Arabidopsis thaliana: one gene and its partners. The protein of the gene in region 1 interacts with the protein of each later gene in a pairwise test. Each region holds a gene or a part of one and is shown on either strand. Other genes may lie near its edges.

Region 1 (3,754 bases):
CTTTAAGGTTAGTGGACTCATGTATATATTGTTGATGCAAATAATTTATATCGCTTAAGTAAATGATGTATATATTGTTGATGCAAATAATTTAAAAGTATACATAATATTTGCATTGCTTGTTGTAACTAATGTTAATTTGAGTCAACTAAAAAAAAAGATGTTATCTTTTTAAATCACTTTTTGTAAGTGTTCTAAGTATTTGCATCAGTTTATCAAAATCATATATATGAAAGTTGGTCAAAATCATATATATTTGTCATGTGTCTATTAAATAATTAATGTAAGCTCTTCAACTTCTAATTTATAGGTTAATGATACATTTATTATTTATTTTTATATTATTTTATTTTACATATTTAATGTACTATTACTAAATTTATTTTAATATTACATGATTTTTCAATAAAACCATTTTAATAGTTTTTTCATACTCGAATATTTTTTTTGTAATCCAAACTCAAAGTATGAGTATATAATAATCATGGATTAGTTAGTGATTTGAGTAGGTTATTCTCTTAAATTGATATTTATATAATAAATCACCGAGGGTGTAGAATACGTACAAACCTCCATCATTTCGTCTGAACCCTCATTTTGCGCCGATTCTGTCAACAATGGTTGGAGGAAGAGGAAAACCTGGAGGAAAGGGAAGACGCAGTGTGAAGAAACAGGAAGAGAAAGAAGTTGAACGTGGTAGAGATGAGTTTTTATCAAAATCAAAAACTCCTCATCCAAAAGGATTTCCTCCAATGCAAGATCTAAGCACCAACGTGGTCACTAATAGAGGTGGATTGCAGCCTATGAAGGTAATGTAGTAGTATATTGTTCGCTTTTTGTTAATTGTTTTCGGATCAGTATACTTTTTTTTCTTTTTTCTTAAGGAATTGTGGGATGTAGAATATGTTCACATCCCTAAGAAATTGAGCTTGAAAACGGTTCTTGACAATATGAAACAAACTATGGCTCAACGTGGGTTCTACATCCGATCTGTAGATGCTTATGTTCGGAAAAGGTTTCTCACCGAGAACAAACCCCTTATTAAACGTCTTCGCCGATCAGACGTGAACATAATTGAATCACAAGAATACCCAGAGGAATATCTAGGTAAGACCACGTTATATTTATCAAAGTTTTGGTAACCTTAATGACGTCATTAAAGAGTTTTGTTTTTGATTAAATTTTTCTAATGGCATTATCATGTAATTAATTACAAAAATAAAGGTTACATTTAAAATGTACTTCCCAAATAATATAGTAGGATAATCGATGTTAATTAAATAAAATGACTTTCAATTAATTGTTTTTAAAAAGTATTATGTAATTTCATTAATTAATATGAAGGCAAACTTTGCATACTAAGTTTTATATTTTTTTACACCACCAAAAAACCAAGGTCACTATATGTAAGAAAACTATGAAACCTCTTTTTTTGTGGGAGAAATGTAGGATTTTGACAAATTAAGTAAACATTTACATCACATTTTATAGTCGATGATTAGTCGTTAACTAGTATCAGTTTCCATTGATGTAAATTTTGTATCATTTTAAATAGTGATGTTACACAAAAATTAATAGATGCATCAATTATCTAAATGATGTAAGCTTATATATTATATCATTTAAAAAAAAAGATAGTATAATAAAATAACTAAAAATACAAATGCTAAAATAATTGTGGATTTTTAATATAACAGAATTAAACAATTCCACACATACAAAACAAAGGAGAAAAAAAGAATTGTAACCTAATTCTTAGACTGTTTTATGAGAATCCAATTCGATGAGGATTGATATATACAATTCCTCTAATTAGTATTAATTTTAGAAAGAAAAAAATAGGATTAAGATTTTATTAGTCAAACTTACTTTTAGTAGTTTTAATTTAAATGTATCTAATATTTTTCAAAATTATTTTATTTTTAAAGATTGTTATCACCTAGAATTTTAACATTTTTACCTTACTTAATTTCCAATTTTTTTTTCCTTCCGCTGACATATATAATTTTACTATTTTTATAAAAAGAAATTACATAAGTGAGCAATTTTAGCATCACATTGGGCACACAAAAACCCTAATTGTATCGTTAGGTCCTTTTATTTTGTTATATTTACATAAATCTCCTTTCTTTCTCCAGCAACAGAGTGTATTCTGCTCGATAATAAATTGGTAAATCACAACACAAAAAAAAAGTGTTAAGAGATCCTTCTCCCTCTTCGAAGATGAGCGGTACGGTGAAGGATATCGTTTCAAAGGCGGAGCTTGATAACTTGCGCCAGAGCGGCGCACCAGTCGTGCTTCACTTCTGGGCTTCTTGGTGTGATGCTTCGAAGCAGATGGATCAAGTTTTCTCTCATCTCGCTACTGATTTCCCTCGTGCTCACTTCTTTAGGGTTCGTCTCTGTTCTCTTGACCAATTCAAAATTTTATCACTTTCAATGAGGTTTTTGACTGTTATTGGTTTTATCTTCTTAGGTTGAAGCTGAGGAACATCCTGAGATATCTGAGGCTTACTCTGTTGCTGCTGTGCCTTATTTCGTCTTCTTCAAGGTAAAGTTACGTTTTTTTTGTTCCCTATGATTTGATCAAAACTTAGGATTTAGGGTTTTTGTTTTTGCTTAAAGTTGTTTGTCTAATTTGGTAGAAGAAGAAGACATTGATGAAGTCATACTTATTGATTCTTTATGTTGCTTTGTTTGGTTGCAATTTTCTGTCTTTATAGCATTGAGAGTGTGTTCAAAAGTTTGAATCTTTGTCCCTATGTTTTGATCGAAAGTTTAGGATTTAGGGTTTTTGTTTTGATTAGTTTGCGTCTCTGTTAGATTACTGAAAGCTGTTTATCTAATCAGGTAGTAGAAGAAGATGGTTCGCCTATCCATTTAGCTCCAGACTTATTGATTCTTTGTTTTAATTGGTTGGTTGCAATTTTCTGTCTTTATAGGATTGAGAGTGTGTTCAAAGCTTGAATCTTTGTCACTGCACTGTAATGATTGTTCTGAAAGTTGTTACTTTCTTCTGACTGTGAATTCGTTTTCTTATTGAAGGATGGTAAAACTGTGGATACACTTGAGGGTGCAGATCCATCAAGTTTAGCTAATAAGGTTGGCAAAGTTGCTGGTTCTAGTACTTCTGCGGAGCCTGCTGCTCCTGCAAGCTTAGGGTTGGCTGCTGGGCCAACGATTCTTGAAACTGTGAAGGAGAATGCGAAAGCTTCTTTACAAGACCGAGCTCAGCCTGTATCTACCGCCGATGCTCTCAAGAGCCGTTTGGAAAAGCTCACTAATTCTCACCCTGTCATGTTATTCATGAAAGGTATTCCTGAAGAGCCTAGGTGTGGGTTTAGCAGGAAAGTAGTTGACATTTTGAAAGAGGTTAACGTTGATTTTGGAAGTTTTGACATACTATCGGATAACGAAGTGCGAGAGGGTTTGAAGAAATTCTCTAACTGGCCAACGTTTCCTCAGCTGTACTGCAACGGAGAGCTTCTTGGTGGAGCTGATATCGCAATAGCGATGCACGAGAGCGGTGAACTAAAAGATGCTTTCAAAGATCTTGGGATCACGACAGTTGGTTCAAAAGAAAGTCAGGATGAAGCTGGAAAAGGAGGAGGGGTTAGTTCAGGAAACACAGGCTTAAGTGAGACCCTCCGAGCTCGGCTCGAAGGTCTGGTCAATTCCAAACCAGTTATGCTGTTCATGAAAGGAAGACCAGAAGAACCAAAGTGTGGGTTCAGTGGGAAAGTGGTTGAAATCC
Region 2 (3,754 bases), about 14 Mb from region 1:
CTGTATTACCTACCAGTAGTTTTGCATCAGGATAATTTGCTTTGAGCTCAAGCAAGTTCTGAAGACATACGGGTCTATACCAGGTAATCCCCCCATTTCCCCTTAACTTTAAGGGAGTTAACTTCCTCAGCAAAAGTTCAGGGGGGAAAATAAGCTCCTTATCTGTATACTTAGCTCCATCTATATCACTATAAGAGATTGACTGAAATCTATCTTCATTACAACTGGCAACTTCATTTGTTGTTTTTGATCCACAAGAGCAAGGTTTGCCAGTAGATGGGCAAATAGTAGAACCATCTTGAAGGCTAAGTGAAGATACACCACAGTAGAGAGCATCATCAGATTTTGCAAAAACCCGAAACGCATCAACAATGGGTCGATAACCAGTACAACGACATAGATTTCCTGCAAGACATTCTTCAATCTCCTCCTCAGAAGGTGAGTTTTTACTTGACCTCAACAACGAATACATGGACATGATAAACCCGGGAGTACAAAACCCACATTGGGAACCATGGGAAGATGCCAAAGACTCCTGAGAGAATCAAGATCATAACAGTGACAAAAGAATCTCCGCAAAATAAGAAGAAATAGAACCTGAGAGAAGTAAATCTTACCTGGACAGGGTGCAAGCCAAGTTTGCGATGCCCAAGTCCCTCAATGGATATTACATGCATCCCTTCTACAGAATAGAGAGGTGCTAGGCAAGCGTTGACAGCATAATGCCTGCAATAAAAGTTTCCGTATGAACAGAGAAAGAATCAATAAGAAGGCGCAAATATAAACTAAACAAAGCCAACATATAGGAGGGACAGATACGCACACAGAGGTCTTTGACTTCCTGTCATAACTAGACACCATCACCGTGCAAGCCCCACAACCACCTTCGCCGCATCCCAGCTTTGTACCGGTCAATCCTAAATCTACAAGAAACATCTGTAAGTTAGAAACTACTTCATGATCGTTTAGAAAAAAAGATTGATCTCTGCAAGTCATTTTTTGTCCCCAAGCGAATCTAGCAATTGGAGCATAATCTTACTCAAATAAAGACAGTGGTCTAAAAAAACAAAAGAACAGTGGATCAAACATAATCTCGATTTTTTTAGAATCCAGAATCTATAAGTCAAACATAAGCCTTTTTCTTTAACATACTAGAGTAAGAAACTAGGAATCCAAAAAACAGAATCTTCATAGAGAGTATCAGTTCAAAATTGAATTGAAAATTAAACTTGTTTGAGTACTTGAAATCATCCCCAGCAATTGGATATTAATCAAAGAAGTTGATACGCACCTCTGAGATATTCGAGAAGTGTCATATGAGCCAATCCATCAGGCAAGACTCTACGAACGCCGTTAACGTACAGTAACGCCTCCGTAAACTCATCTCCGATCTCGCCGTCCTTTTTCAGTGAACCCATTTCTCAAATTGAGAGAAAACTCGATTGGGATCGAAACAAAAACGAAGATGGCGAAGTTGATTACGCCAAGTCAAGAGAAGCAAAAAAGGAATAACATTTTCCTTTTTTAATAATAAAATTCGTGTTCCTTTCCGATAGCATCCACCGAATGAATACGCATCTTCATCATCATCACTTGTGCAGTCAATTTTTTTTTTTTTTTTTTTTTTTTTGTAAAGAACCCAAAATAGAAAGAACGAAATTTAAGTTTGAACAAAGTAAAACAATTGAAGCCTATATGATGTTTTTACAATGCCACTTATATATTTGTTTAACTGAATTTTGCTGATTATGTTTCGTTTATAAATTGTAGTCTGATTAGTTATGACTAGTGTGTTATTGTCTTGTCTTAAGATTTACTTTAAAAGAAATTTTGATGATATTGTTTGTTTTATTTTTGGTTTTGATATATGATGATGATAAGCGTCTTGCATTGCTCAGCATAACTGCTTCACATTCTTTGCTCACTTGAAGTTAGAGGTTGTTCAGAAAAAAAAAATCTGATATTTTATCTCGATGGCGCGCGCATTTAGTCAACAAAGTTGCTGCTTTGAAGAAACATGTATCATGTTACATCATGTATTTGGAGACTGGAAGTAACTTACATATATGACTTTGACAAAATGGATTGATCCATCTTTCTCCCCTCTATTAAAGTTTAAAGCTCAAACACTAAGCTTTGGGCAGAAATCTGAATTTGCAAAAGGAGCTGAAAACTCGTCGAAACAAGCCATCCTGATACGCTCTGGAGTGGCTGGAGTCTCCAGAGGGAACCAGTTGGTGAGACCTACCTCGCTTCTAGCCGCTTTGATTGCTTCCTTTATTGCAAAGAAGGCTGATGCTGCAAGAAAGAACGGTGGCTCACCCACTGCTTTAGATGAATGTATTGCCTTTGCATTTGGATTACCCTGAGTATAATCTCATGTTCAGTTTCAAATGTGTTGCTACCAATTTAAACAGCTTGTTCCTATAGTTGCATACCTTGAGAAGAGAAACATTCAGTTGGAACGGCATGTCGTTGATGGAAGGTATTTTGTAGCTTCCGGGTCCGCAAGTGAGTAAACTTCCTGGTTTAATCCATTTATGAGCTGCATCTCCCCACTTGAGTTCTTCTAGAGCTACCCAACCTAGTCCTTGTACAAACGCTCCTTCTATCTGCAAATGGTGAATTTCAGAAATAACACTTTTCTCTATGATTTTCTTGGATTTTAAACATTGCAAAAGGCCAACGAACAGCTAAAAGCGTAGGATGTTGAGAGAAGATTGCGCACTTGTCCAATATCAATGGTTGGGTTAAGAGAATATCCGAGATCCAACATTATGTCTGCTTTTCTTGTGTGAAAATCACCAGTCAATGTATCTATCTCAACTTCAGCAAAGGCAGCTCCATATGTGTAATATCTATATGCGTTCCCTTTTCCAGATACCCAATCAAATTCAAGTTCTGGAACAATGTGAAAACCGTGAGCTGATAGGTCTATACGTTGAAAGTAGCAGGCACTTGCTAGCTACATACACTCAGAGAAAAAGAGAGTTTTGTTCATCAAAATCTTCTGAGTTTATATCAAATTGCTAGAAGAAAGAAAGAATACCTCAGAGAATGTGTTGAAATTGTGTTTAGATGCAACAGGCTCCATTCTTGCTATAATCTGCTCACAAGCGTCTAAAACTGCAGCACCATACATATCAGAACTCGCAGAAGCAGCAGTAGGTGACGCATTAGGAACCTGTTACAAGGCAATCAAAACGACAAGAGAGCAAAAACTGTGAGGCATTTGGAACCTATTAAGAGACCACAGAAATGATAAGAGAGAACAACAACAGTTTTGTCTGACTACGTCTTGGCCAAAAGTCCACTGCTTGTAACCGAGTTAAATGTACCTTGTCGGTGCTTGTTTCTGACACAAAAACCGAACTAAGGAGAATGTTAAAGGCCGTTGCAGCAACTTGAGCAACCTTTGTATGCAACCCTTGGCCCATCTCAACACCTCCATGTGTCACCAAAACAGTCCCATCGGTGTAAACGTGAACAAGAGCACCGGCCTGTGACAGCCGTTTAATTATATATTGGATTAAGTATCTCAAAATTCAGATTCTAGCTTTGAACGGTAGTGCAATGGTGAGATTTCCAAGGAAGCTTTAGCTTAATCTTTTCAGTTCCTCGACAGATAACTAAATTTGAAAGAAAAGGATTCACATCAAACAAAGATAACCTGATTCATGAACTTTGTGGTAAAGGATATGCCAAATTTTGTGGGAACCATAGCTACACCACGCTTTTTCCACCGATTATGACT
Region 3 (3,754 bases), about 14 Mb from region 1:
GAAGACACCAAATCATTGATTCCGCATTGAGAACGACAAGCCAACTCCACAGTCTTAAGTCTGCCCTGCCCAGAATATGTGACGTCACTCAATAGTTGGATTATGCAAGAATAAGGTTCACTATAACAATACAATGTAGACTAGGCAGCCAATAAACGAACCCATCCAAAAGGCAGAGTCTAGTTATTTCCAGTCGAACACAATCTCGAAGTGGAAGTACAATGGGAACCTTCCATCTAGCATCAACATGCTGAATATCTGCTGATAGTGAATAACCTCGTCCCTGTTTCAAGAAAAAGCAATTCAACTCACAATTCTGATAGAACATAGTCTAAAGGGAATGTCCAAATAAAGTACACAAAACATTGTGTACTGAAATAAAATCTTTACACCAAAACTTCAATTTTTAGAGATGTAATTGGTTAAGTCCAAAATATCTACATTCTTTAAGGTAGCCATTGATTGCTTTCTGGCATGAAGTTCTCACTCTAAGATGCAATCTATAGAATAACTAAGCCAGAGGAAACACGAGTCAAGTCAGGGCACTAAGCAACACACCTTGACAGTAGCCGTAAGAACATGGGAAGCAATTCTCGACGTGCATGATCCCAACACTAATCTATTGTACCCATTTTCAGCGGCAACCTAAAAAGGTTTATCAAACAACATTAAACAAAAGATATTTCCAAATCTGAATTTCTTTCCCAGACAGAAACAAAAGCAATATAATGTCCAAACCTTTTGCAAAGATAACATTTTCAGATGCAGCAGAAGGTCTTCTTTTCCAGTATCGTCAGGAACAGAATCTAATAGCTTCAGAAGTCTATCCCGTGCGTCAAGAGAGTCTGAACCAAATATGCTTTCGACTGGAACAACATGGAGATCCTTAGCAGGTGGAGACAAACACGAGACAGTATATCGAACCCACTCAATTGCATCAATCATTTCAGTGGAAAGAGCAGGAAAAGCTGCAGTTTCATCCACAAAAGCAACACCAACACCAAACACAGGTAAAGATCTATCTCGACTCGCCTCGTAATTCTTCAAAGCCTTGATTTGCAACTCGTGCACAAATTGAAGAGAAACCCTAACATCATACTTGCTACGTTTAGACACCAATCAATAACATATCAAAAAACAGAAACTAAAGGAAAAAAAGAGAGCAAAACCTGGAAGATGATCCGCCAGAGAAAGCAACAAGGACGTTATCTGAAGGAGTGATCATAGCATGAGAAGTAACAGCAAGACGGAATTTCCCAAAGACATTGTTCCTAAAACAATCTGCGCAGAATCTTCCATCGTCGAAGCCACCGTCACCAAATGTCATAGGCGCATTGCATTTACACTTGACGCAGACACTCTCATGATTACCGCCACCAGATACTGCATCATCCACTATCTTACTTCCATTATCTTTCTCACGGTCATAGCAACCTGACTCACAGCCTGAGGAATTACAAGCCATTTCCAATTCGCAAGCAGCTGAAACTGTGGAAAATTTAGATTAGGAATTACAACACAAAGGAGTAGACAATGCTATCAACATCTAATTCACGAGACTTAACTACTTTCCGCCATTAACGAGATAATTAAGAGATTGTTACTCTAAACGAAATCATTAGTCTTTTTTACTCAATCAGTATATAATCAATCCTATTACACTGTATATTGCTAAGTCTTGCTATAAAGCGAATATATTGAATAGATAGCGATGTGTGCACATTCAAAATCGAAACAAGCAAATAAGTGATTAGTTACCAGTTTGAGAGAGAAAGAGAGTCGTCGCGATAAAATCTTTAGCAGCCCCAGGTCAGCCTCAGGCGGCGCCAAAACGTTATGCGGTGGTTGACTACGGCGATATTGGTTTAATTGTTAGAAAAATGTCACTACTTTGTCTGAAACTAGGGTTTAGAGAAAGCAAGAAAAATTGGGGAAGAAGATGAAAGTGGTTATTTACGAGTCTACCCATACCGGTGAGACGATTAGTAAAGAAATTATGGTTTGATAAGTATTTAAAAGATGCTAAACCGTAAACATGTAACCATCCATTAAAAGGAACCGACAAGTTTTGTCCAATTTGGGAGCAATAGAAGAGAATCATCATCAGTCATATCAATTTTGTCAATGTTTTAGGCTTTTTAGTCATGGTAATGATACCTCACATGCATTTCTTCATCTCTTTTCTTCTTCAAAGAATTTTCCTTAATTTGCTATTGTAATATTAATATTCACCCACCAGCAAATTGTATATGTTCTCCTTGATTCATAAAAGAAAACTACTATTTTGACCCAAAACACAAGTTTGGTTCAATTGGCCATCCGGTAAACCTAATACCCTATCTTGTGATAAAAGGTTGAAATAAGAATTAGTTAGTCTATATGTGATACACACAACACAAATTGCTGAAATTAAGATGAGAATCCCAAACTAATTTACATACGACTCCACGATTTAACACAATAATATTAAGTGAGTAGTACGAAGAAGAATCTCGTCTCGTATCCAGAGTTACAACAAATCGTTGTTTTTGTTCACCTTTTGTATAATAGAAGATTTCAATGTTCCATGAACTGCGACGAAGGCGGGCTTATTTTCGTCTTCTCCGTACCTGCAAAGATATGAGAGACAGATCTTTGTTAGTGCTTCAAGATTGAAACAAATATTGATAATATGTTTGTATGTAAATCATACCATATGCCCCACGAATCTCAACTTCTCTCAGTTCTTGTACAAGGGCACAGCAACAACACATTACATGAGATAGAAAATCGTCAATGAATCCTCCCTGCGAAATCAGAAAACATTAAGCATTCATTCCGACTCTACATTGAGTGGCATAAACATAGCCATTTCAATCTCAACCATGATAGTTACTACTGAATTTTTTTGCAGGTGTCTACTTAATCTTTAACCGAAATTTCATTTGTTGTTTATGGTATGCAAATGATAGAAATTTTCTCGGAAGCATATAGATTTTTGGGATCAAATGGGATTAATGGTAAGGATTCAAGCGAGTGGAAGAGAATGAGAATGTAATACCGTGATGTTCAGTGTCTTCCGGAGTTTCCTCCTCACGCAACAAGTATAGCAGCAACAAGAAAGTATCAAAGAATACGCCATTAGCTCATTACATGCTTCAGCTGAAGCTGGGAGAGCGAAAATTAAAAAAAATCCAGTTGACTTATTAGCTTTCACATGTATTACTAAAAGATTGAAAATTAATAAAGTCACGGTATTCAATAATATCCCTTACAGATGTGCCTGTTGGATGCTGCAGTGGCAATCTTTGCCAAAGTACCACACGGGAAAAAGAATGTCTTGAAGCCTGCGGTTCCATCATTGAATCTTTGAGAACTTTGCAGATAACAAGGAAGTATAGAATGTGAAACGCTAATCATCTATGTAACAGAGAAAACAAAGTGGAGCCACATTGTAAACAAATAGTGTGGTCTTACAAAGAGAAGGTTCCGAGCAACAAGCTAGTAAGTCGGTATGCCATTCTTCATGGTGTTGTGCCTGTGATGCTCTTCGTGAAAGCAGATCATGCCCAGATGAAACATTAGAAGTGGATCTGCATGGAACAATTGTGTAACCGATGTTATAGAACATTGTACCAAATCTTAGCCTTCAAACATGAAAACAGACCTAAAAGCATTACAGTCACAGCAAAGAATTGAAGATTATACTTTCTTAAACTTGTAAGGAAATTTGGATCTTTAGAACAAACATGAGATTCTAACCTCGAAGCTGCAC

The links.
Region 2: the proteins of GRXS17 (region 1) and XDH1 interact in a two-hybrid assay, tested with the Arabidopsis thaliana proteins (one study listed by BioGRID).
Region 3: the proteins of GRXS17 (region 1) and AT4G35910 interact in a two-hybrid assay, tested with the Arabidopsis thaliana proteins (one study listed by BioGRID).

Annotation. Positions count from the first base shown.
Region 1 is NC_003075.7:2,518,394-2,522,147, reverse strand, and holds the start of GRXS17 (thioredoxin family protein), read left to right. Parts: upstream 1-2,085; 5' UTR 2,086-2,223; coding exon 2,224-2,394; intron 2,395-2,476; coding exon 2,477-2,551; intron 2,552-3,045; coding exon 3,046-3,754. UniProt on the Arabidopsis thaliana protein: May only reduce GSH-thiol disulfides, but not protein disulfides. Participates probably to the maturation of iron-sulfur proteins and to the regulation of the redox state of the BOLA proteins.
Region 2 is NC_003075.7:16,623,566-16,627,319, forward strand, and holds the start of XDH1 (xanthine dehydrogenase 1), read right to left. Parts: upstream 1,627-3,754; 5' UTR 1,419-1,626; coding exon 1,292-1,418; intron 924-1,291; coding exon 824-923; intron 727-823; coding exon 618-726; intron 536-617; coding exon 1-535. Other genes in the region: XDH2 (xanthine dehydrogenase 2), read right to left, coding at 2,123-2,365, 2,439-2,612, 2,729-2,965, 3,050-3,184, 3,339-3,500, 3,671-3,754. UniProt on the Arabidopsis thaliana protein: Key enzyme involved in purine catabolism. Catalyzes the oxidation of hypoxanthine to xanthine and the oxidation of xanthine to urate.
Region 3 is NC_003075.7:17,009,550-17,013,303, forward strand, and holds the start of AT4G35910 (Adenine nucleotide alpha hydrolases-like superfamily protein), read right to left. Parts: upstream 2,094-3,754; 5' UTR 1,759-2,093; intron 1,489-1,758; 5' UTR 1,466-1,488; coding exon 1,170-1,465; intron 1,088-1,169; coding exon 739-1,087; intron 646-738; coding exon 559-645; intron 284-558; coding exon 162-283; intron 61-161; coding exon 1-60. Other genes in the region: MCA1 (PLAC8 family protein), read right to left, coding at 2,557-2,609, 2,693-2,786, 3,041-3,147, 3,255-3,326, 3,457-3,572, 3,742-3,754. UniProt on the Arabidopsis thaliana protein: Plays a central role in 2-thiolation of mcm(5)S(2)U at tRNA wobble positions of tRNA(Lys), tRNA(Glu) and tRNA(Gln). May act by forming a heterodimer with NCS6/CTU1 that ligates sulfur from thiocarboxylated URM1 onto the uridine of tRNAs at wobble position.